Caenorhabditis elegans: one gene and its partners. The protein of the gene in region 1 interacts with the protein of each later gene in a pairwise test. Each region holds a gene or a part of one and is shown in the gene's direction. Other genes may lie near its edges. The genes, in order: memi-2, sex-1 and rpn-7.

Region 1 (6,577 bases):
AAAAATGACATCCTTGTTGGGGATCACGTGTGTGTCATTTTTCGATGTTTTTCAGGGAAAATCGAAAAAAAATGTTCCGAAAATTAACCATAAAATATGATTTTTTTAAAATCTAATTTTGTTTATATTGATGAGAAAAAATATTTAAATTTATTCTAAAAAAAAAGAACAATTTTGAGCTAATTTTTGAAAAATCGAAATTTTTTTCGAAAAATCTAAAAACGAAAATTTGCGTTTTTTGATTTTCTGAAAAAACAATCAAAAAACCGACACCTTTTTTGGGGATAGGAGAGCAAGATAATATCTATTTCCTCGCAAGAATTTTCTCATTTTGCAATTTTTAATTTCTTCCGTAAATCGGCACCATTGAAAAACACGTAATATTCACTTTTTCACTTTTGTTGTGAATAAATGCGCTTTAAATTAGAAAAATACATTTTTAAGTCAAAACAAAAATTAAAACTTTCTATTACGGGAACACAAAATTCTGAGAATGCGTATTGTGCAGCATATTTGACGCGAGAATGCGAGACGACCTTCCATCTTATAATCGCTATCCTGTAGAGCTTCCTTTCTCTCGACAATTACTTTCTTCGTGAAATCATGAAGAATATGTAGGCATTTTTCATGAGTCCGTCCGTCTTCTGTTCTGAAAATTACAAATTAATTGTTAAATTATTAAAGATGTTTTTTTTCGAATTTTTTCCTTATTAGATTCGAAATTGTCTGAAAACACCGAATTTCATGATGAAACTTCTTGAAAACTTCTAAAAAAAAACGTTATGACGGCTCGAAAAATGACCTAATGTTAGATAAAATTTGAGATTTGACCGGCTTGAAACAAATTTTTTTACGAAATCACCGTCTAATTTTGGGTATACAATTTAATTATCTTGGGTTTACAACTCGATTTAGGTATTTTAAAGTCGATGGACGGCGAGATTTTTAAATTTTTTTACCTAATCTCGCCGTCCATCGACTTTAAAATACCTAAATGAAGGTGAAACCCCGAGATAATTAACTTATATACCCGAAAAAATTAGTTTCCAGCCGCTTGACAATTCGGTCAAATTTCAAATTTTAATTAATTTTAGGTCATTTTTTGAGCCGTCATAATTTTTTTTGAGAAGTTTTCAGACAATTTTGAGTCTAATAAAGCAAAAAAAAATTCGACTACATCATCTTTAATGATAAATTTAAAATTTTAAAACTAAATACCGTACAAATTGTAAATAAATGAATTCCACATCAACGGATTATTTGTTCGCTTTGAAATCAGCTTATTAATTGTGTGCACCGCCCATACATACTCGTTATTCTGAAAAAAAAAACATTTAGAAATTTAAATAGATGGAAGAATTTCCCGAACCTCCGCGAGTTGAGCACCGATAGCTTTTCCCATGGAAGTTTCGCAGATGATGTCAAGAGTGCAAAGGGTGATGACGGAGAGAACATCAACTTCTTCACTGAAATAAAACGTTCGAAAGAGTTATGTAAGAATTAAAATTCTCACTCTGCTACACCGAGGCAACACAATTTCTGAATCAAAATCTTCGATTGCTCGTTAAAAATCGGCAAGAAATCCTTGAGAATATCATAATGGAAGGTTGGTGTCAATAGTTTTCGCTTTGGACGCCATTGTTCCTTTTGGCTCGTCAAAATACTGATTCCAAGCCATGGCTCAAGCAAAACGTATGCGAACCCTTTGTTCAGATGTTTCGTGGAAGAGAAAATAGGTTCAACAAGATCGGCAGAGTAGAGCATAAGACATGGGAATGGACCAATCCAGAGAAGACACATCCGTGGATCTGGATACAAATATCCCATTCCAATCACTTGATTCATGAATCCCTCTGGATCGGGCTTTGTGATGAGTCCGTGACCGACGATTGGGTATGATCGTGGTTGGTTGAGGTGCTGAAAGTTTATTCAATTTATCTTTAAATGAATTTTGCAATCAAACCTTCAAAACTTGACGCATTCTCAAGTGTTTGTAGATAAGCCAAGCAATCACCGTCGCCGAAGCGAGAAGTACAGCGGGGATGATAACCCCCATTGTAGAATCTTCTGAAATAATTTATTTGAGCGAAAAAAACGAGCAAAAAGCGTTGAAAACTCGAGGAAAAGCCTGAAAATCGCAACAAAACAAACGTTTTTTGATTGAAAATTCAAATTTCTCCCACGCTTTGTCGAGACCTATGTGAAAATTGTTATGCGCCTTTAAAGAGTACGGTAACCCAGAAAAGACGAATTTTTTTGAGAATTATTCGTTTCAGCTTTTTTTAAGACGAGCACAAAGCATCAAAAGCGTTTTAAAAATAAGAAAAACGTTTGTTAAATTTTTTCGATGCTGAAAATATTAAAAAATCGCAATAAAAAGAACGAATTATAAGTAAAAAGTCAAATTTAACTTGCGTCGTGGTGATAGCCATGTGAAAATCTTCAGGCGCCGCCTTTAAAGAGTACGGTAGGCTTGAGAAAGTTCTCGAACGAATTTTTGTTGTTTTCTGATATTTAAATCTTGATTTAATTATTAAAAAGTTCCAATCACTGTTAATTTTTCATTAAAAAAAGTGAATAAAACAAATCCAAAAGTATTTATTTTTGAATGAATATTGTAATTTTTATGAATGATCTCCCCGCGAAAAATCAGCGCAACAATTTCATTATTTTAGGCCCAACAAAATTTTTTGATCGTGTGAATTCTTCTTCTTTGCTGATGTATTAAGCTGATGCTCAGAGAGATTTAATGAATCTTTTTCATAGCTTTATCGGTAAATTATTCTTAATCTGCAAATCACTTGAGCACATTGTTTTCTTCTTTTCCATTAATTTTTTACACCAAAATTTTTCAGAATGTCAGCTCCATCTCGCACCGTTCTTCGCGAATTGACAGCGACCAGATACGTGGTCAACTACAACGAAGAAGATCACCTGGAAACCGCTCGAGCCGGTTGCTCTGCCCTCCCACCACAACCCAACATCAATCATGATGTAATTATCGAAGGGCATGGAGAAGACGTGGAGCTCGTCGACGATCAGAACTACCGTTCCCTGCATCGTATCGATGAGACTCCAAAGCTCGTCGACAAGAAGCCGAGCAAGACAGTCATCCGCGATGAAGCTGTCAAAGTGCTCAGAAGCATTCAAACAATGCCGATTGAAAGTCTTCGTCTCAAGCGCTACGACTTCTTCTCGCAAAGATGGTTCAACACGACCAGAGAATCGGAGAAAGCGCTTGTCGAGCACGTGCTCCTTCATCCCAATCAGCGACCACACTATTTCGCCGCTCAGTGCCGCATGCTGTTGGTCGAGGATATCTCCAGTTTGATTCTGGTTAATTTCTTGAGAATATTTTTCCTGAAAGAATTAAATTTAATCTCAGACTTCCTTCCTGGCCGAGCCGAAAGAGACGGGTCAAAATGTGGTTCGATTCGCGATCCAGGCAACGACTGAAATGCCATTCCATCTATTGTTTGCTATGCTCGAACAACTGGAGATGGAAAACGAAGGATTCCAGATGACAGACAGCTTTGTGGTGGCAACGTTGAACCGATCACAGGGCAGAGTACGAGAAACAGTTTTCTGTTTCATGCCAATAACTTTTTCAGACTACCACTCGTCACCTGCGAACCACAAACTGCCGGGAATACGGAAATCTCGAGCCAGGACTCGATTCACAAGGCCGACTGATGGCCTCGACTGCATCAATCACGTGTTCTATCCGAGGAAAGCGCCACGTGGAAACGAGGATCGTGTACAATAACAACTCGAACGCCAGGAATACTTCAGGGAGAAGTAGAGTGAGTTGAGCAGCAATAAAATCTCGATTTTCAATTTATGAAATTTTCAGTACATCGAATTGGAGCAAACAGTGAAGTGCAAGAACCGACGTGTGCTGATTGTCGAAGATCCAGTCGAAATCCACGAATTTGAGATCGAAAAGGACATGATCCCGCTGGGAAAGGGAATTGTGCCAGTCGAGGACCTGATCACGTTCCTCGAGACATTCAAACTGGATGAAGAGGACGAGTAACTCCAGACATATGTCCTATAATTTGTAATGTACATAATTCTGTATTATTGTATCAGTGGTTCTTGTTGAATATATCAACTAACTTTCCCCTTTATTTTATTTTCCTTTTTTGTTTTGGTCGTTTCCTGTATATAGATTCTCCGCTGCCCCAAACTATTTTGCTTATGTTTAACATGTATATTGCTTGAATTAACATTGCCAGAATATGAACTGGTTGATTTTGCAATCTTTTTAACGATGAGATGAATTATATATTACATTCAGTAGTTGTCTTTATAATATTTGGAATTTAAATTACTTTACTCCAAAAAACAACTTCTTTTTACTTTACTCCAAAAAACAACTTCTTCCGGTTACTCATATCCGTTTCTCCACACTCACCTTTGATCGTTTTCCAACAACTTTTCCTCCTCTCTAAATTTTGTTCGAGTTCTCACTCTCACCACGTGCGGGGCTCCAAATAACAGCTGCTGCCTCTGAAATGTCATCGCGAGGCTAAAGATTTCCATTTCTCACAAAATTTGCCGTTTCGGCATATAATCTGTGCTCTGTGTTGGCTGGCCGACGATGATTGAATTGGCTCATTGGCTCATTTATGCGTACTTGTGAGTTTTAAAAATGGTTTGCCGGTTTGCCAATTTGCCGGAAATTTGCCGGTTTTCCAATTTTTCGGAACTTTTCAATCCCGGCAATTTTCCGGAATTTTTCCGGTTTGCCAATTTGCCAAAGCTTTTCAATTCCTGCAGTTTGCCGGAATTTTGCCGTTTTGCCAATTTGCCAGAACTATTCAATTCCGGCAGTTTCCCGATTATCCGGAAATTCGCCGGTTTGCCAATTTCCCGGAACTTTTAAATTCCGGCAATTTGCCGATTTGCTTAAAAATTGCCTGTTTGCCAATTTGACGGAGCTTTTCAATCCCGACAAATTTCCGATTTGCCGGAAATTTGCCGGAGTTTTTCAAGTTGCCGATTTGCCAGAATTTTGAAAATTTTCCGGAGCTTTTCAATTCCTGCAATTTGCCAATTTGCCGAAAATTTGCCGGTTTCCCAATTTGCCGGAACGTTTCAATTCCGGCAATTTCCCGATTTTCCGGAAATTTGCCGGTTTGCCAATTTGCCGGAACTCTTTGTTTCCGGCAATTTGACGGAACTTTTCAATTCCGGCAATTTGCCGGAGTTTTTCAAGTTGCCGATTTGCCAGAATTTTGAAAATTTTCCGGAGCTTTTCAATTCCTGCAATTTGCCAATTTGCCGAAAATTTGCCGGTTTCCCAATTTGCCGGAACGTTTCAATTCCGGCAATTTCCCGATTTTCCGGAAATTTGCCGGTTTGCCAATTTGCCGGAACTCTTTGTTTCCGGCAATTTGACGGAACTTTTCAATTCCGGCAATTTGCCGGAGTTTTTCAAGTTGCCGATTTGCCAGAATTTTGAAAATTTTCCGGAGCTTTTCAATTCCTGCAATTTGCCAATTTGCCGAAAATTTGCCGGTTTCCCAATTTGCCGGAACGTTTCAATTCCGGCAATTTCCCGATTTTCCGGAAATTTGCCGGTTTGCCAATTTGCCGGAACTCTTTGTTTCCGGCAATTTGACGGAACTTTTCAATTCCGGCAATTTGCCGGAGTTTTTCAAGTTGCCGATTTGCCAGAATTTTGAAAATTTTCCGGAGCTTTTCAATTCCTGCAATTTGCCAATTTGCCGAAAATTTGCCGGTTTCCCAATTTGCCGGAACGTTTCAATTCCGGCAATTTCCCGATTTTCCGGAAATTTGCCGGTTTGCCAATTTGCCGGAACTCTTTGTTTCCGGCAATTTGACGGAACTTTTCAATTCCGGCAATTTGCCGTAAATTTGCCGGTTTGCCAATTTCTCGGAAGTTTTCAATTCCGGCAATGTGCCGTAAATTTGCCGGTTTGCCAATTTGTCGGAACTTTCCAATTCCGGCAGTTTGCCGATTCGCCGGAACTTTTTAATTCCGGCAATTTACCGGAAATTTGCCGGTTTGCCGGTGTTCCGATTTGCCGGAACTTTTCAATTCCGGCAATTTTCCGGAAGTTTCCCGGATTTGCCAATTTGCCGGAAATTTTCCGGTTTCCCAATTTGCCGGAACGTTTCAATTCCGGCAATTTACCGGTTTGCCAATTTGCCAAAACTTTTCAATCCCGACAAATTTTCGATTTGCCGGAAATTTGCCGGAGTTTTTCAAGTTGCCGATTTACCGGAACTTTTCATTTTCGGCAATTTTCCGATTTTCCAGAACTTTTCTATTTTGGCAATTTGCCAATTTGGCGGAACTTTTAAATTCCGGCAATTTACCGATTTGCCGGAAAAATCGTTGCCCGTCAACCCTGATTTCAGCCTTCAAAGTAACAAAAAGTAGATTTTCCAATTTCCTAGATTACACAAAATACACGAACCGGGAAACTGAAAGTTCATATCTTTTTCTACTACTTTCTGATAGATTTTCTTGTCAATGACACACGAAGGTGTCTCTTCTTCCTTTTTGAAAAGTGATTTTTTCTTATTTGGACGCGAGAGTAACCAC
Region 2 (8,866 bases), on another chromosome or scaffold:
ATTGAGAACTACTGGTTGATAGTGTTTTTTTTTCAGCTTCACAGAAAATAATTTGTTTCATGCTCTTATTTTACGTTTACTCTCAAGTAACACACATTTATTTTCTAATCGATCGAGTATACGGTTTTCGTTGATCATTCTTGTATACAGTCTCATCTTCACGTCATCACCACACTGAGTCCGCACATCGCCTCCTTAGTCAGACAGGTCCACATTCACATTGCTGTCAACTCGCCATATTTCTGTTTTCTCGGTTTCTCCATTAACCGGCTCATTTGTTTTTGAGTTTCATGTTGAAACAACGGTACACTCGTATTTGCACGTCTTCGCCATTTTCAATTTTTCCGCATTTCCCTGCTGTTCGAGACGGTACGCTCAATCCGTTCGGAAAGTTGGATCTCTGCACCAAAAAAAGGTGGCAGAAACTGCTATGCACAATCTGATTTCTTACAGTTGTCAATTGATGACGTCACTAGAAGAAGTAATGAATACAAGTTTGAGTAAGGTATATTACTGATTCTCTGAATCGTGTAGACAACTATTTCGGGTGCCATGTTCCAATAGAGCTGGAACTTCTTTGATTCTATTTTACCTTTGGAAAATTTGAAGAGTGCTCCTTTTTAATAGATTATATTCTAGATAGCCTAAAAGTGGGGTAATTAAAGTGCACTCTTAACCAACGCAATAGCCGTTTGCTAGTCTCCCTTTTTGATTTTAATTACGGTCACTGGATTTTTATGTTTCCACTAATACCAGATTTACACTTTTGGGAAGTGCAATAGAAAACCATGTTGTTTTGCTCTAAGATTGAAATAGCTTGAAATTTAATAACCGATCCTTGATTGAAGTTGTCTTAGATATACATCCAGATCAATATATTTTTTTTGCGATTTTTATATTTTCTTAATTCAAACAGTATGAATATTAGTTTCAGTGTTTTTAACACTTTCAAACTTTCTATCCCTTTAAAACAACTGAAAACACAGAACATAGTTTTTTCTATTACAAATAATCATTATCAGTTAATTATGCCCCTTTTACGGACCATGCATTGCACTATCTAATCAACTTCATCGGTTAGATAATGTTTTGTGTCATGGAAAACACTTTCCCTTACGTTTTTCCTGATGATTTTTATCTTGCTTATGTATCTTAAATCGTTAAGAGTAGAGAAAAATGAAACAGCTGTTTTCTTTTTTTTCTTGGAAAAATGCCTGTGTAGATGGAAGAACATGGTGCAATAGAAACAAATTTATGAATTGTTCAAAAATTCGTCATTTTGAAGAAAGTACATCGACAGATGCACAAAATTTCGCAGAGAGTCTTTTATGCTTTAACAGTTCCAGCTGTCGTTTTGATGAATTTTCCATAAAGTACAAAGTTAGGGTGAAGTTTATTTGTGAAACGGGAATGCAATTCGTGAACTCATAAAGATTGTGCATGTTACTGAAACGTCTCTTCGTAATAGAAACCGGGGAAAAGGCATAAGTTGCATCATTAAGAGATGTTAGCTAGGGAAAGATGTGCACGAAGGTGTATTGTTATGTCCGAGTGTACAAGTGGAGGACGAAATATTGGTGATCTAGAATTCCGTTAGTAATTTAGATGCCTTACTAGTTACACAGTTCACGCAATAGCCGGCGAGCGTTAATTGTTGAAGTTATGTGCTATATTATGTGCCATTTTTGGAGATATTAATAATATTCACTCTTATTAGAGTATCCTCCCGTCCTATATATTTCATCTCCCAAGTTGTGTATGCGCAAGCGATGTGCACCAATTTTTAAAGGTGGTTGTAAACCGGCAGACCTCTTTCCAGACGGTGTCTTGTTGTGCGCATTCGCCTCTTCTCCTCCCCTTTGCAGACTGTTCATTTCTCGATCACAGTTGTCTCGTTTTTCATCTCCAACAATTGCGGACCACTGCATTGCCTCCTCTTCTCTCTCAGTCCGCACTTTTTTGGATCGATATTTTGTTTTTCATTGTGCATATCTCTAGTTTGTTGAGTTTTCTCTGTGTGATTCTTTGCAACTCTGTAAACATTATTATCTTACTCTTCTCACTACACGTCATCGCTTCCCAACATCTCGTCACTTCTCCTCACCCAAGAGGTGTCAATTCACACCTTAACATGATGGTGAAGTGAGCTCGAGTGGATAGTACTTCATCTCGAGCCCTCCTTCTGTTGCTTTATCTTACCGTCTCCTCTTCCCTAGTTTTTTCCTGTGAGAAAGGCACGCAACCATGCAACACATTGTGTATGGAATATCTAATTGCAAATTGCGCAAGAATTGCCTAGAACAACGCAATCATTTTCTCGGGGGAGAACGCAGTAATCTTGTTCGCTCAAACTATCTTCGTTTATTTTTGTGCGTGATTGTGGACTTGGCTGATCAATTTTTGCATCCATGATTTCTACCAAAAACTTTTAAAAAAAAAATGCACACATGTGTAGTAGCGGCTTAACATGTGAAGGACTATACTAGGTAGTTATAAATTGTATCACATCTTCTCAACCTAGTTGAATTTGTTGGAAACTTCATAATGCTTTTGGAAATTGTTCTATTCAGATCACTTTTGAATTTTAATTTAAGAAGTTGAACACGTTTCTTACTTTCCGGTACTAAAATATCAATTAAAAGGTAAAATTTTACTCTAAAACCATGTGTGAAGCTCACCTCATGCCACCCGTTTTTTTAATCGAAATGTGCTTGCTTGTCGAGCAATCTCCCAGTGGTGCACTCCTCCTCAGCTCCGCCTATCCTCCTCGTCTCTCCCCATCCTCTCACCCACAGGCAGGCATTCAGCGCAGATTAATACACGATACCAGCCTTCCTTATTGCTAGTTAATAGTTCCCTGCTTTAAAAACTAATTGTTGATTTCTAGATTCTAGCTTTCCATGTTCTCTTCATCAAATTGTTATCACGTTTTTCTCGAACTGCTGTTCTTTTCCTTTGTCAGCAGATTTTCCATTTCTTTCTTTTACCTTTCAGATAATTCTCTTACCAATTCTCTGTCTCTTCCCACTGTGAAAGTTGTCCGTTACTGCATTACTCAATAATTTTAATTTTCAGATGAGTTTCGAAACAAAACCTAACTATCTGTTACTGACAAATCCTGACACACCGCTTTCTGTATGCACATCTCCATACTACAGCCCTTCTGGAAAAACAGCTTCAATTCCATCATCAGAGGCAAGCAAACCAGAAGGAACAAATGGTCAATGGTCACATCTTCCGACTGGAGCTGTAAGTTTTTGTCGTCATCATTTTCATATTTTGTTCTGATTTACAAAGTTAATGCGTAGTTTCAAAATAGAAATCCAGGAATTAAACTGAAAACTAAATCTTCTCAATTTGCAGACGTACGTGACGGATGAATTCTCGTCAGAATTCCAAATCCAAAACGGATCGACAGCAGCTCAAAGTGGTAACGCCAACAACTACGCTGACCCTCTCTCACACCGTCGCTACTTCAATAACGTCAATGGGTACAATCACCATCAGTTCTATGATACGGCGTCACAAGCCAGCGTGAGCTCGCCGGCAACAAGTGGTAAGTTAGGGAGTCTATTTCTATCAAAATCTATCAGTAGGTGGGGCATATCATCAAGTGTGTGGTGACAAGTGGCAGCAACATCTACAGCAACACAGATTTTTTTCCTCACCTAAGAACATGTGTCTGAGAAGTGTTGCAAGTTTCCGAGTTTCTCTCGCCTTTTTTCTTTATTTCTCCCATTTAATTGATAGAAGAATGAGAGCAGAGAAAATGAAAAAGTCTAATAGACTTTGCAATCATTCTTCATCTCTTCCCTCTCTGGATCATATTTAGCTCGATAGGGACCAGATCAGTTGTGCTCTGTTCCACGTATCTTCCTGTATTCTAAGATGGCCTACTTTTGTACAACGAAAGTGAAGGCAAGCGGCTATGACGTGGTTGCGTAATAATCTCCAGGTTTCGTCATTTCTTTGGACGTCCGCTGCCAGACCACAGTGATGTATGGGTACGGTAATAAAAGAATGCCGATGGGTGAAAGAAGAGGAGAAGACGAAGTGTAATAAAGGAGGAGAACGTAGAGAACGGTGAAAGAGTGCGATGTAGGCGTGGTAAAAAGACTGTGAGAGTGAGAGAGACAATGAGAACGCATATGCCACAAATCTTGAAGATGTGGCTAAGAGCTTACTGAGTCGCGGAGAGAACGGGACCAAGGAAAACTAGGTAAATACTATCACGTCATCATTGAGAAGGAAACAAATATGGTGTGCACAGTGTACTTCAATAAATTTCACTGGTATACATAGCATGTTAAATCTGTAATCTGCCAAGTTGAGTTAAATTTGTATATTTCTGATGTGTAAATAAGTTTAGAAAAAGAATAAAACAGAAGAATTCGAAGAATCGAAGAAATGTTGTATGACCATATCACCCACTTGAAAATTGACTCTTCTAAAATTTCTTAGATAATTTTACATTTACAGTAACTTCATCGTTGTCTCCTCCTGATTCCTTATCAAATGGTCATACCACTCAACGTCATCACATTGGGAAGGCGATCTCATTTTGCAAAGTATGCGGAGACAAAGCAAGTGGATACCATTACGGAGTGACGTCATGCGAAGGATGCAAGGTAGGCATGAATGGTCCTAAAATGATCACTAATCACGTGGTTCTATTGAATTTAATGAAACCCTTCTCCACTCATAAATCCCCTTCTTGTTCTATTTACGAAACCTATATTTATGACCGTCTTATTTGATTTTTTGTTTTCCCTTATGTTAGACCAAGAGCGAGAGAATGAGCACTTCCCCAACACAAATTGCGCAATTATTTGGAGACTGTGTATTGCTATGTGCATTAAGGACTCTCTTTTCCCATTGTGCGAGTGTCTTGGATGCATACTAACATAAGAGGAACAAGCCTTACTCGGCAAATACATATAATGACGGTTAATAAAACATGGTTGGTTGGTCTGCTGAGCAAGTGCGTTAGATACAAAGAAAAACATCAACTGAACGAGAAAGTTTAAGCGGATAAGATGACTAATTTAAATTTGAATCCCTCATTCTTCCCTTCTTTATTCTTGGTCATTTACACATCACAACGCCCCGCTCACATTTTGAGATTTCAAAAAATGGTTCGACTTCAGCACAAAGGCAGTAAATCCTTTACAAGGGGCGTACTCTTGGCACCGACACGTGCCATCAAATTAGTTTTTTTTTGAATTAACTATTTCTTTCAGGGATTCTTCCGTCGGAGCATTCAGCGCAAGATTGATTACCGGTGTTTGAAACAGCAAGTTTGTGAGATCAAACGCGAGAGCCGCAACAGATGCCAGTACTGTCGTTTCAAAAAATGCCTTGATTCTGGAATGTCAAAAGATTGTAAGTTTGATCAGATAGAAGTGTGCAACAATTTTGTGGTGTCAAACACACCTGACGCAGTTGGCTCAATAGGGTTTACACAAATGATAATTTATTAGAAATCAAAGTCTATTGAGGTTTTAAGGTTTGATCACTGTGAAGCCTCAATAAGCTGAAACGAAAACGATTTCTATATTCGTCATAAAACCTGAAACCATTAGTTTTTCTGAAAACATTTCAAGCTAAATTTTCACATGTTCAAATAGTGTTCTATAGGATTCACAAGTACTCATTAAAAAAAGAAAAAACTCATAAAAAAAAGAAAACCGTACCTGTTTTAAGCAAAAACTTTTTGGAAGACCGAGTTCAAGTTTTTCAAAAAAAATAAAGATTTAAATGTTGTTTCAGCTGTTCGCCAAATGAAGTTCAGAAATGCAATGCGAGATGATAAGAGCCCCGATTCCGTTTTTGTTCCGGAAATCTCAACGCTAGAACGGCAAGAAGAAGTTGACGCCGTATATGAAGCTGTACTCCGAGCACACACTACCTTCTCATTTTACACTGACATTAAAATCCGAAGTATTGTTGCAAGACCATTCAATGTCGTAAGTAACTTTTGGGCATGTTTTTAAAATCATACTAAACGTTAAAATGTTTCAGAGAATCAATGAAGACTCAAAAATGAATCGATTGAATGCCTGGCAGATTTATGCTCATGAAATTGACGTGGACATCAAGGAAGTTGTAAACTTTGTGAAAGAAATTCCAAAATTTAATTTCATTAACGGAAACGACAAAGCAGTTTTACTCAGGAAAAACGCTTTCCCACTCTACTTGCTTCGCATTGTTCGTGGAATGTCGAACAGAGGGCTTATGCTTCGAGATGGAAGACTCATTGACTTTAAGTCTCTTCAACTGCTCTATGGATCATTGGCGGACGAAATGCTTGCATTTGCAAACCATATCATTACAATTGGATGTACAGACGGAGATATTGCACTATTCATTGTCCTTATTCTTTGCCAGCCACTAACCACGGAACAACAATTTTCTACTAACTTCAAAAGTCAATTGCAGTTGCTGGAAATGTTTGATTTTTACAAGAAAGTTCTTTTCCAAAAAATGACATGCCGCATTGACGGATGCGATACATACAAACAACTTATGAAATGTATTCATGAATTGAATCGACTTAGTAAGTTGTATTTCATACTGATATTTTGTTTTATTTTATATCAACTTTTTCCAGATGAGCTACATAAACAGCAACTCAATATTCTTCGAGAAAATTTGTCGTTTTTAAACCTGCCTCCTCTCGTTGTGGAAATGTTCCAACTCTCAACACTTCCGTTGCCTGTTAACCATAACAACCAAGAGGTAATTATTAAGGAGCTATAGATGGGAGGTTAATATTAAACTTAATTCAGAACCAATATACTCCTGCTCCAGAGCATCAGAGCCCTCAACCACAGCAGCCAACGCCAAATCAACAACAGACTCCCGTTCACTGCTAGCCACCTTTGTCAGATTCTCATCCGTTTTCATTCCAACACAATTCACCTTCAAATAATTTCGCTTTAATGTAGTTAAGTATTCAATCTCTCCTTCCTGCCCGTTTCCAACCCAAAAGTCACGTGTCTGATGACTGCTGTTTAATAATTCTTGCAAGGATTGCCACAATCCAGCATTTTGCTTTCTTTCTCAATAATCTTAATCTTTTTTGTCATAAGTATCACAACCAGACGGTTCTGGTTTATTCACGATTGGTATCATTAAAATGATTTCCGTGCTATAAATTTAGTATTTGAAAGAATGCCTTAATAACTTCAATATTGCAGTTTTTAATAACCCTCTGTAGGTCCAGTCCAATCGAGCTCCAAAAATGAAAGGCGTACCGATGTCAATAGAGAAACATTAATTATTTAATTTTCAACGAGTTGTAGAATTACTTTCGTTATTGATTATGAAAACGTATGCGAGTAAAACCAAAAACATCGACATCGAACATCGGAAAAATCGAGACACATGGCCGTCGACCTCTATCAGAATGGCTCCGATCTCGATTGAACTGACTTTTACCTCGAACAAGCAACTTGTCACAGGGTTCTTACTATTCAGTATTCAGCAAAAAGTGAGCACACCTGTATTGACTGAACAATATAGAATAGTTTTGGCTATTCCGTTAGGAGATGTTAATGCATTATGAAAGATTTATTTTTTTCAAGACCAAACGAAGGCATGATTCTTTTAACTTTCCTAAGAGCTTCATCTTCATGCGTTAACTGTGCTAGAAAACAAGAAGTTATGGTTATGAGAAAATTACAGGACGAGTGATATTGTTTTTGAAATATAAAACAGTGAGAATCAAGATTTTCAATAAAACTGTGCTCGCGGGCGATATTCTAACTACAAAATAACTATTTCCAAACGCAAATGTATCATCTTAACCAATGGAGATTCTTGTTTTTGCTTCTTGAAATTAATAATTTCGGTTCAGTGCTGAAACTTTTAAGCTGAAACAAATTTTGACTTTTTTCACGATTGCCGTGACGGAACCAATTAAAATTAGGTTTTTCTTTATATGTTCCGAATGTTTAACTCTTTCACTCGATTCAAATTTTCCAATTATTGAATTGAAGTTTTACGCTGTCTATTCGCAAATCTGCAAAGCTCTCCAAAAGTTTTTTTTTCTTTTTCGCACTGCAATCCTAGATTGGTGAGGTAGTGTTTTTTATTTACTTATTTTCATATATAAAAATATTCTGATAAATGCGTTCATTTCATAATATGCAGTTTTTGTCCGAATTGGGATTAACAGGTCCAATCGACAAAGGAATAGACAGACAAGAAATGGCCAATGACAATTCTGAATGTTTGAAAACCTATTCAAAAGTATACAACCCGGGTTTCGACATTAAGTTACATATTATCTCAACCAAAAGCATTAGCATTTTAAAACAAATTAGAAATCTACAACTGATATAAATTAAATTCCGTATGTTGGATCTTTAGTGTGATCTTGGATGGGTTCATGGTGCACAGGGGGCAAATTTTGTTGAGGTGGTTGTTGCGGTGGTTGCTGTGGAGGTTGTTGTTGCTGTAAAAAGGGTAGTAATTATTGGATTTTCTGAATGTCAGTTTTTGGTACCTGTTGCACAGGCGGTTGCGCATTTTGAACAGGTGGTGGATTTGCATTCACCGGTTGAATTGGCTGTTGAGCAGGGTGAACTTGTTGCTGAGCCTGTGAAAATGTCAAATGATTACATTACTATGTTAAGTAACTTTATACCTGTGGTGGTTGTTGGACAGCTTCTTGCGGATGTTGTTGTTCTGAAGCAACTTGTTGTGGGTCATATGCATGTTCTCCCCATCCTAGTTAAAAATCAAAATTCTAAGTAAGGCATCACTATTGCATTTTTAAAATGTTTTAATAGCTTTATAATTTGAAATCAAAGTAAGCCTGCGTGTTAGTAAAAACTCAGAAAAGTGTTAAATGGAACAAAAT
Region 3 (6,839 bases), 4.1 Mb from region 1:
ATAAAAATTGTAAATCGAATTATTCATTGATTCGTTTAATTAAACGTATGATGTGAAGAGCCAATACTACCAAAGATTGGGCTTCTAGATTCTTCGTGATGGGTTACGATCCTCTTCTGCAAATTCATAAATGGAAAATGTTCAAATTGAATCCTGAAACATGTTAAACATACATGTGAATATTCGGAGAATTGTCCAATGTCGGCTTTACAGTTTGATAATTGGAAGAAATTGTCTTATTACCACTTTAATCAATAAAAGAGCAAACTTTTTGTTATAACACAAAAATTAGCAAATTAGCAAAAATTGGGCCAAAAGAACGAATTTTACGAATGCTAGCCAAAAATTGGCCGAGTTGTAATCATAACTAACCAATTCTGACTTTATATACCAAGTCTGTAAGAGTTTTCCTAATTTGTAGAATGTGTTTATAATGCGAAATTTGAATCGCATAGGGAACAGATGAATGGGTGCAAAACTGATAGAGGAAATACGGTAAATTTTTACCGAACGGACCAGGAAATGTTTTTTTATTTTCAAAAAAAACAATAGGTATGGAACAAATTTGTTGATTCTGCGAAAAAATATTAATTGCGCCTACAGTACCACTACAGTAACCCAGCAGTATCACTCCGCCAACTCCAACTCAGTATCCCGTCAGAAGAAAGCAACACAGATTTGCTAGAACTACTCGAGCATAAACTGAAACTGTGGCCTATCTAATTTTATTTAATTGATAAGTACAATTGTTAATTTCTAGAATGTATGATACTATAAAAAATGCATTTTCAACTCGTTGTAATAATCACTATAAGAAGTAGTAAAAAATATGTCCGTAGTAAAAGAGTATTTGCCGATGTACTGGACTATTTTGTATTTTTTTTTGAATCAGAAGCGAAGTGAATATTGCCATTCCCAACCCCAGGGAAATAAGTTGTTATCCGATGTTATAGTGACCCAGAGACACTAAATAAGCAGAGAAGAGTTTGTAGAAGAGTGATTTAGACGAATAAACGGTGATTTCATTTCACTGCTTTATTTTAAACAGATATGAGATTATTTTAGCCCTATTGACGAATGAATAGGGCAATTTGAATGCATTAAAAACGAATTATGAACACTTATAGACAGAAAAAGTTAATGAGAAGACAGAATAAAACCATTGGTGTAGATTAATTTTGGAGATCAATAAGAAACTCCATAGCCGCTTGCACATCTCCATTCGCCTGTTCGAGAGCCAACTGAATGAGCTCATCATTTTCAAATCCAAACTCGCGGAGAGTCGCAGCTTGTTGTTCATATCCTTGCTGCATTGGCTCTTCTTGCTGCTGTTGCGCTGGCTGGACATTGGCGGGAGCTGGAACCCGATTTGCCGGAGGAACTGCAATGTTTGCCAGGGCTGCTTGGAGAGCCTGAAAAAATTGGCATGGAGAATTTAGTAGAAATATGTATTCAACTATTATTATATTTCAATTATTCTTTTCGAATTATGAGAATCAGTGTGTCCAAGAAATCTTACATTTTGAAGCAACGCATGAGTAACCGGTTGAGCACCTCCAATTGGTCGCTGAGCTGCAAGCATTCCTGGTCTATTTCTTTCCACGTTTGCATAATCAAGGTTTTCGTATCCGTAACGAGATCCTACTGTCGATAGAATATTTTCTACTACTTTCAAGAAATCGGGATTCGTGTACATGAATTGTCCCCGAATTGGATCATCTTTGAAATCGTTCTGAACGCAATAGGCACGGAATAATGACCAATCACTCAGAACAGATAAAAATTGATTATCATGAACCAGCTGTGGGTGTTTCTCAAGAAGCGTTGTCATGTGATCTGGAAGTGCAAAGTCGTGGTTGAAACCATGAAGCCGACGATCATTTGGGCGTGTATATGGGGCGGTACACTCCTTGAGAGCAATACTGATTCGATTTTTTTGCTCTTCTTCGATGTGGTTCTGAAAATCTTAAAATTAATTTGGGTTTCAAACGGAAAAAAACTGACATTTGTTTTAAGCGGTGGAAGCAGCACGACTCTGATTGAATCAGCATCAGTAATCTTTTTTAGGCTCTCTTCATTCAATGCTCTTCCGTTATAAATCAAACCTGAAAAGTGATTGATTCGATAATTGAAGAAATAAATATGATCGATAATTGAAGAAATAAACTTACGGAAACGTTCAACGTTTTTTTGGTCTTTGAATTCGGAAGTACTTTCTGATAAATGCTTGAAGAATTGGATCTGTCCAGTAGAAATTATCTCTTCGATCGGGACTTCACGGCAGGTGGTTTTTAAATGCAATTTAACCATGTTTCTCAATACAACGGGATGGCGGTTGAAAACTGAATGCGAAACAAATGCTCCGTTTCCTGCGTTCAAACGCTAATAACGAGAGCGCTCGATAATGAAAGGATGAATAAAACCGTGCGGCGGAATTGCGAAAGCATGCGCCGCGTATTGCAAACCCTTGTCATCATCCCCGCCCACTTTTATTCGTCCCATTTTGAATTTTTCCCCCAGTTTTCTTGAATTTTGATACGGTTTTGTCTGTTTATGCACTATGAAATAGATATTTTAACGTAGTTTTCACTGTGCCGCTCACTGTAATGTAAAATAAGGCACTATTACGAATTTAAAATAGATATCAACGCTTATTTTCAAAAACTAACAAACTAGACACTAAAATTAATACCAAATCTATATTTCGATAATTACAGCAAATTTAATGAAAACTAACTAAAATGCTATTTCACGTTTGAAATACCATTGAACAGTTTTATTTCCGTTTTGGCCGCTTTTTAACGTTTGCTACAATTTCAAGTGTTCATATTTCATTTTAAGGAGGATGACAGAGGCTGCCAAAAAGAGCACGAAGAAACCCGTAGATGATGGAAACTTCGATAAGGAGGTACGGATCAGTAGTTTTGAAATCATTCAAGTTCAGAGTTTTCAGATCATTTCAAGATGGCCTGATCTTGAGTTATCACAAACCAGATTCATGCTCAATCATCCCGAAGTAGACAGCAGCGTGAAAGAAGCCAAGCTCGAGAAGCTTCAGGAAACTATCAAAGAATTCGACATGGCGCCATTCTACGAGCTTGTCTGCGCTGACTTCAAAATTGTCGTAGATGCAACACAATTGGCTGCAATGAAAGCAGCTAATCAGAAAAAGATCGATGAAATCACCGCAGAAGTTGAAGACGCGGAGAAGAACCTTGGCGAATCTGAAGTGCGTCAGGGATTACTCCGCAAGTTCGAGTACTACTGTCAGATCGGTGACAAAGACAACGCTCTGAAAGCGTACACAGCCACCTATGAGAAGACAGTCGGTATGGGATATCGTATTGATGTAGTTTTCGCCATGATTCGTGTTGGACTTTTCTTCCTCGATCATCATCTCATCAACAAGTTTATCACCAAAGCAAAAGAACTTATGGAGCAAGGAGGAGACTGGGAACGCAAAAATCGCCTTCGATCCTACGAAGCGCTTTACCGAATGTCTGTTCGTGATTTTGCTGGAGCCGCTGATTTGTTCCTTGAAGCTGTGCCAACATTCGGATCATACGAGCTCATGACATATGAAAACTTGATTCTCTACACTGTCATCACCACAACCTTTGCTTTGGACAGACCAGACCTTCGTACCAAGGTTATTCGTTGCAATGAAGTTCAAGAACAGCTGACCGGAGGGGGACTCAATGGAACATTGATTCCAGTTCGTGAGTATCTCGAATCATACTATGATTGTCACTACGATCGTTTCTTCATTCAGTTGGCCGCTCTTGAAAGCGAGAGAGTAAGTTACTAAAACAAATCTTGTATTTTTCACTTATCGTTATATTTCAGTTCAAGTTTGATCGCTATCTATCGCCACACTTCAACTATTACTCTCGTGGAATGCGCCATCGCGCTTACGAACAATTTTTGACTCCTTACAAGACTGTACGTATCGATATGATGGCCAAGGATTTTGGTGTTTCCCGTGCTTTCATCGACCGCGAATTGCACCGTCTGATTGCGACTGGGCAATTGCAATGTCGTATTGATGCTGTTAACGGAGTGATTGAAGTGAATCATCGTGACTCGAAGAATCATCTGTACAAGGCAGTTATCAAGGATGGAGATATATTGCTCAACCGCATTCAGAAGCTTGCCAGAGTTATCAATGCATAACCGAGCCCAGTTCTTCAAACGTGTAAATCCTTTTATTTTACCCTATTCTTCTTCTCCCGTATTATTTCTTTGCGTTAACTCGCTTTGAATCTCCCCACTTCTTCATCATTTCCGGTTGAATGAATTAATTTATTACCATCGCTGTATTTTTAAAACTGTATTCACACTTTCTTGGTCAAATACCAATTGTTTTATTATCTTTAAAATGTTTTTACATGTTATTTAATACCACTTCTTCACTTCTTCACTTCTTCATTTCTTTATTTCTTTATCCACATCGCTGCGATGTAGATCCGCTGTTTATTTTTCAATCGTTCATAAGTTGATGTTCCAGGAGCACAGTACGTTGCTCGCAGCGAGTTTTTGAAGAATTTAACGAAGAAAGGAGCCTAAAATATTTATATACAAATTTTTTAACTTTTGGCCTAGTTTACTTTCTCTAGTAGCCTATCATATTTTCTCGCTGAATATTTTAAGCCCTCAACTACTTCATCAGTGCAAAACTCGAAATGTTTCTTTACAAAACCGGCTGCTGTGGCTGTCTCCTGAATCTGTTTTGCCTGTAATCACTAGCTGTATTTATATAAATTTTACAAGTAGACTAACCTCATGGGGATATCGAATGTCCATGTAGCAGAAGGCACCACCCGATCGCAAAACTCGTGAGCCCTCTTTGAAAAATAGTTTGTAGTCCGAGTAAAGATGAGCTGCTTCCACATTCAAAACTTAATTTCAAGATGTTTTTGGTATTTTTTGATATGATCCTACCAAAATCAAACGAATTATCTGCAAACGGTAAATCTAGTGCATCTCCGTAGACTATGTTATTCATATTTCTAGTGACAACTTTATCACAGCCAATGATGCATTTTGTTGGTCCATGCCACCTGTGTTCCATATTTCTCGTTTTAAAAAAAATGCAAGACACTTACTTTTCTATCCAATCGAGAGAGTACCCTTGACCACAGCTCACTTCAAGAATTTCAAATTGTTCAAAATAAGGATAATTTGGATGCATTGATAATGCTTTTTCATAGAGATAAATATGAGCTCGATCCGACTCTGAACATTTAAATTAACAAGGAAACCTCGATTAGTGTTTTCATTTTACCGTATTCATCTAGGTCACCTAGATCTTCCATGAACATTCTCATTTTTGCGTACTGAGGTGCTGATGATGGCCAGTAGCCCAAATTCATGAAACGAACACCTAACTTTGGTGCTACTATTCTCATTAATGGATACATTATGAATCTATCAAAAAACCAAAGCCATAACTGTAGTAATAGAGAGGAAATGTGAAGTAGGAGATTCATAGTGAATATGTGTTTACGAGTAAATGTATTCTTGTACAATTATTGTTCGAAATATAATCTTTGTGAAATTAGCTCTATAAAACTCAATTTCAGCCAATCATCATCATGTCCGGACGTCAAGGAGGAAAGGCAAAGCCACTGAAGGCCGCAAAAAAAACGGAGAAGGATCTTTCTGAGGTGAAAATGATGATGATACTAGATATTTTATACTTATCATGGGCGTAATATTGCAAAAAAAAACTAATTGATTAATGAGAGAAGAAATCCAATAGATCAGTTTTTCGTTCAATATTGTCACACTTTTGAGCGTAGGTTGATGAAAACGATAATCTCATATAATTTTTTGAACACTTATCAAGAAATCATGATACTTGGAGGCGCCATGGTTCCGTACACCGAATAGGATTTTAAATTTTGAATGAGTTGTTAATATAAATAGTCATTTGAAACGGTCATAGTGAGAATTTTTGATCCGAAAAATGTATAATAATTTCATGGTTACAGGAAGACGTCGAGTTCAAGAAGAAGCAACAAGAGGAAGCCAAAAAGATCAAGGAGATGGCAGCCAAGGCTGGACAACGTGGACCACTTCGTAAGTTATTTGTTAACAGTAAAATAACATTAAACTATCAACCTGTTTTGCAGTCGGTGGAGGAATCAAGAAATCAGGAAAGAAGTAATTGCCTCGGTCAAATATTATGCCATCTCATCCGCAACCTCTGTTATTAATTCGTCAAATGACTCGTTATTTCATCCATTTCCGTTCCATATTTTACATATTCTTCGTTCCGTTCTGCTCATTCCCTTTTTGATAATTTCAACATCACTATATTTCTACGAATGAATTGTTATCTGAGAATATCAATCATAGAAGGCGAAAATATTCATCACTAAAATTGATTTGGAAGACTTTAGAAACATATACAGGAAAATGAACTGATGGAATGTCGGATGGGACTCTTATGCTACAGAATACAATTATATGGGTGGAAATGAGCACGTCTCTAAAAGCAGAGACGATTTTAAGGGGGAAATTCGAAAAATTATGGATCGCGAGAGAATCAGGATACGACGATGTGAACAATTGATGCAGATATAGAAGGCTCAAAAGATTTGTGCCGTGTTGTATTTATTCTGCCAAAAGACTGCAATAAGAGTAACTGCATAGAGTCCGGCTGCAATCCAACATTGTGTTGCTTTCTCGTTATATTTTGCGTCGATTACACTGAAAAAAAGTTTAAGGAAATTTTTATTTTATATTTGAAGTAATATTGATCAGCTGTTTTTTCTTTAAAAACTATTTCGAAATTTCTTTCAGCAACACTGGAAGATATTTACTGATTTTCAATA

The links.
Region 2: the proteins of memi-2 (region 1) and sex-1 interact in a two-hybrid assay, tested with the Caenorhabditis elegans proteins (2 studies listed by BioGRID).
Region 3: the proteins of memi-2 (region 1) and rpn-7 interact in a two-hybrid assay, tested with the Caenorhabditis elegans proteins (2 studies listed by BioGRID).

Annotation. Positions count from the first base shown.
Region 1 is NC_003282.8:13,396,785-13,403,361, reverse strand, and holds memi-2 (MEiosis-to-MItosis transition associated), read left to right. Parts: upstream 1-2,855; 5' UTR 2,856-2,856; coding exon 2,857-3,336; intron 3,337-3,385; coding exon 3,386-3,568; intron 3,569-3,611; coding exon 3,612-3,803; intron 3,804-3,853; coding exon 3,854-4,036; 3' UTR 4,037-4,294; downstream 4,295-6,577. Other genes in the region: cyp-31A5 (CYtochrome P450 family), read right to left, coding at 464-649, 1,224-1,318, 1,370-1,466, 1,514-1,917, 1,964-2,056.
Region 2 is NC_003284.9:10,199,631-10,208,496, reverse strand, and holds sex-1 (Steroid hormone receptor family member cnr14), read left to right. Parts: upstream 1-3,075; coding exon 3,076-3,249; intron 3,250-3,363; coding exon 3,364-3,556; intron 3,557-4,479; coding exon 4,480-4,628; intron 4,629-5,240; coding exon 5,241-5,382; intron 5,383-5,769; coding exon 5,770-5,966; intron 5,967-6,021; coding exon 6,022-6,556; intron 6,557-6,610; coding exon 6,611-6,738; intron 6,739-6,788; coding exon 6,789-6,875; 3' UTR 6,876-7,168; downstream 7,169-8,866. Other genes in the region: nucb-1 (NUCB1-like N-terminal domain-containing protein), read right to left, coding at 8,348-8,458, 8,510-8,602, 8,651-8,733. UniProt on the Caenorhabditis elegans protein: Transcriptional regulator which is involved in the sex determination and X chromosome dosage compensation pathways.
Region 3 is NC_003282.8:9,313,798-9,320,636, forward strand, and holds rpn-7 (26S proteasome non-ATPase regulatory subunit 6), read left to right. Parts: upstream 1-2,841; 5' UTR 2,842-2,845; coding exon 2,846-2,908; intron 2,909-2,953; coding exon 2,954-3,796; intron 3,797-3,846; coding exon 3,847-4,173; 3' UTR 4,174-4,433; coding exon of another isoform or gene 4,434-4,562; 3' UTR 4,563-4,607; coding exon of another isoform or gene 4,608-4,733; 3' UTR 4,734-4,779; downstream 4,780-6,839. Other genes in the region: F49C12.9 (UBA domain-containing protein), read right to left, coding at 1,173-1,412, 1,520-1,957, 2,005-2,105, 2,172-2,310; nemt-1 (Methyltransferase type 11 domain-containing protein), read right to left, coding at 4,434-4,562, 4,608-4,733, 4,780-4,898, 4,942-5,060, 5,106-5,235, 5,285-5,489; F49C12.11 (Translation machinery-associated protein 7 homolog), read left to right, coding at 5,595-5,666, 5,994-6,081, 6,135-6,169; F49C12.12 (Ribonuclease kappa), read right to left, coding at 6,594-6,714. UniProt on the Caenorhabditis elegans protein: Acts as a regulatory subunit of the 26S proteasome which is involved in the ATP-dependent degradation of ubiquitinated proteins.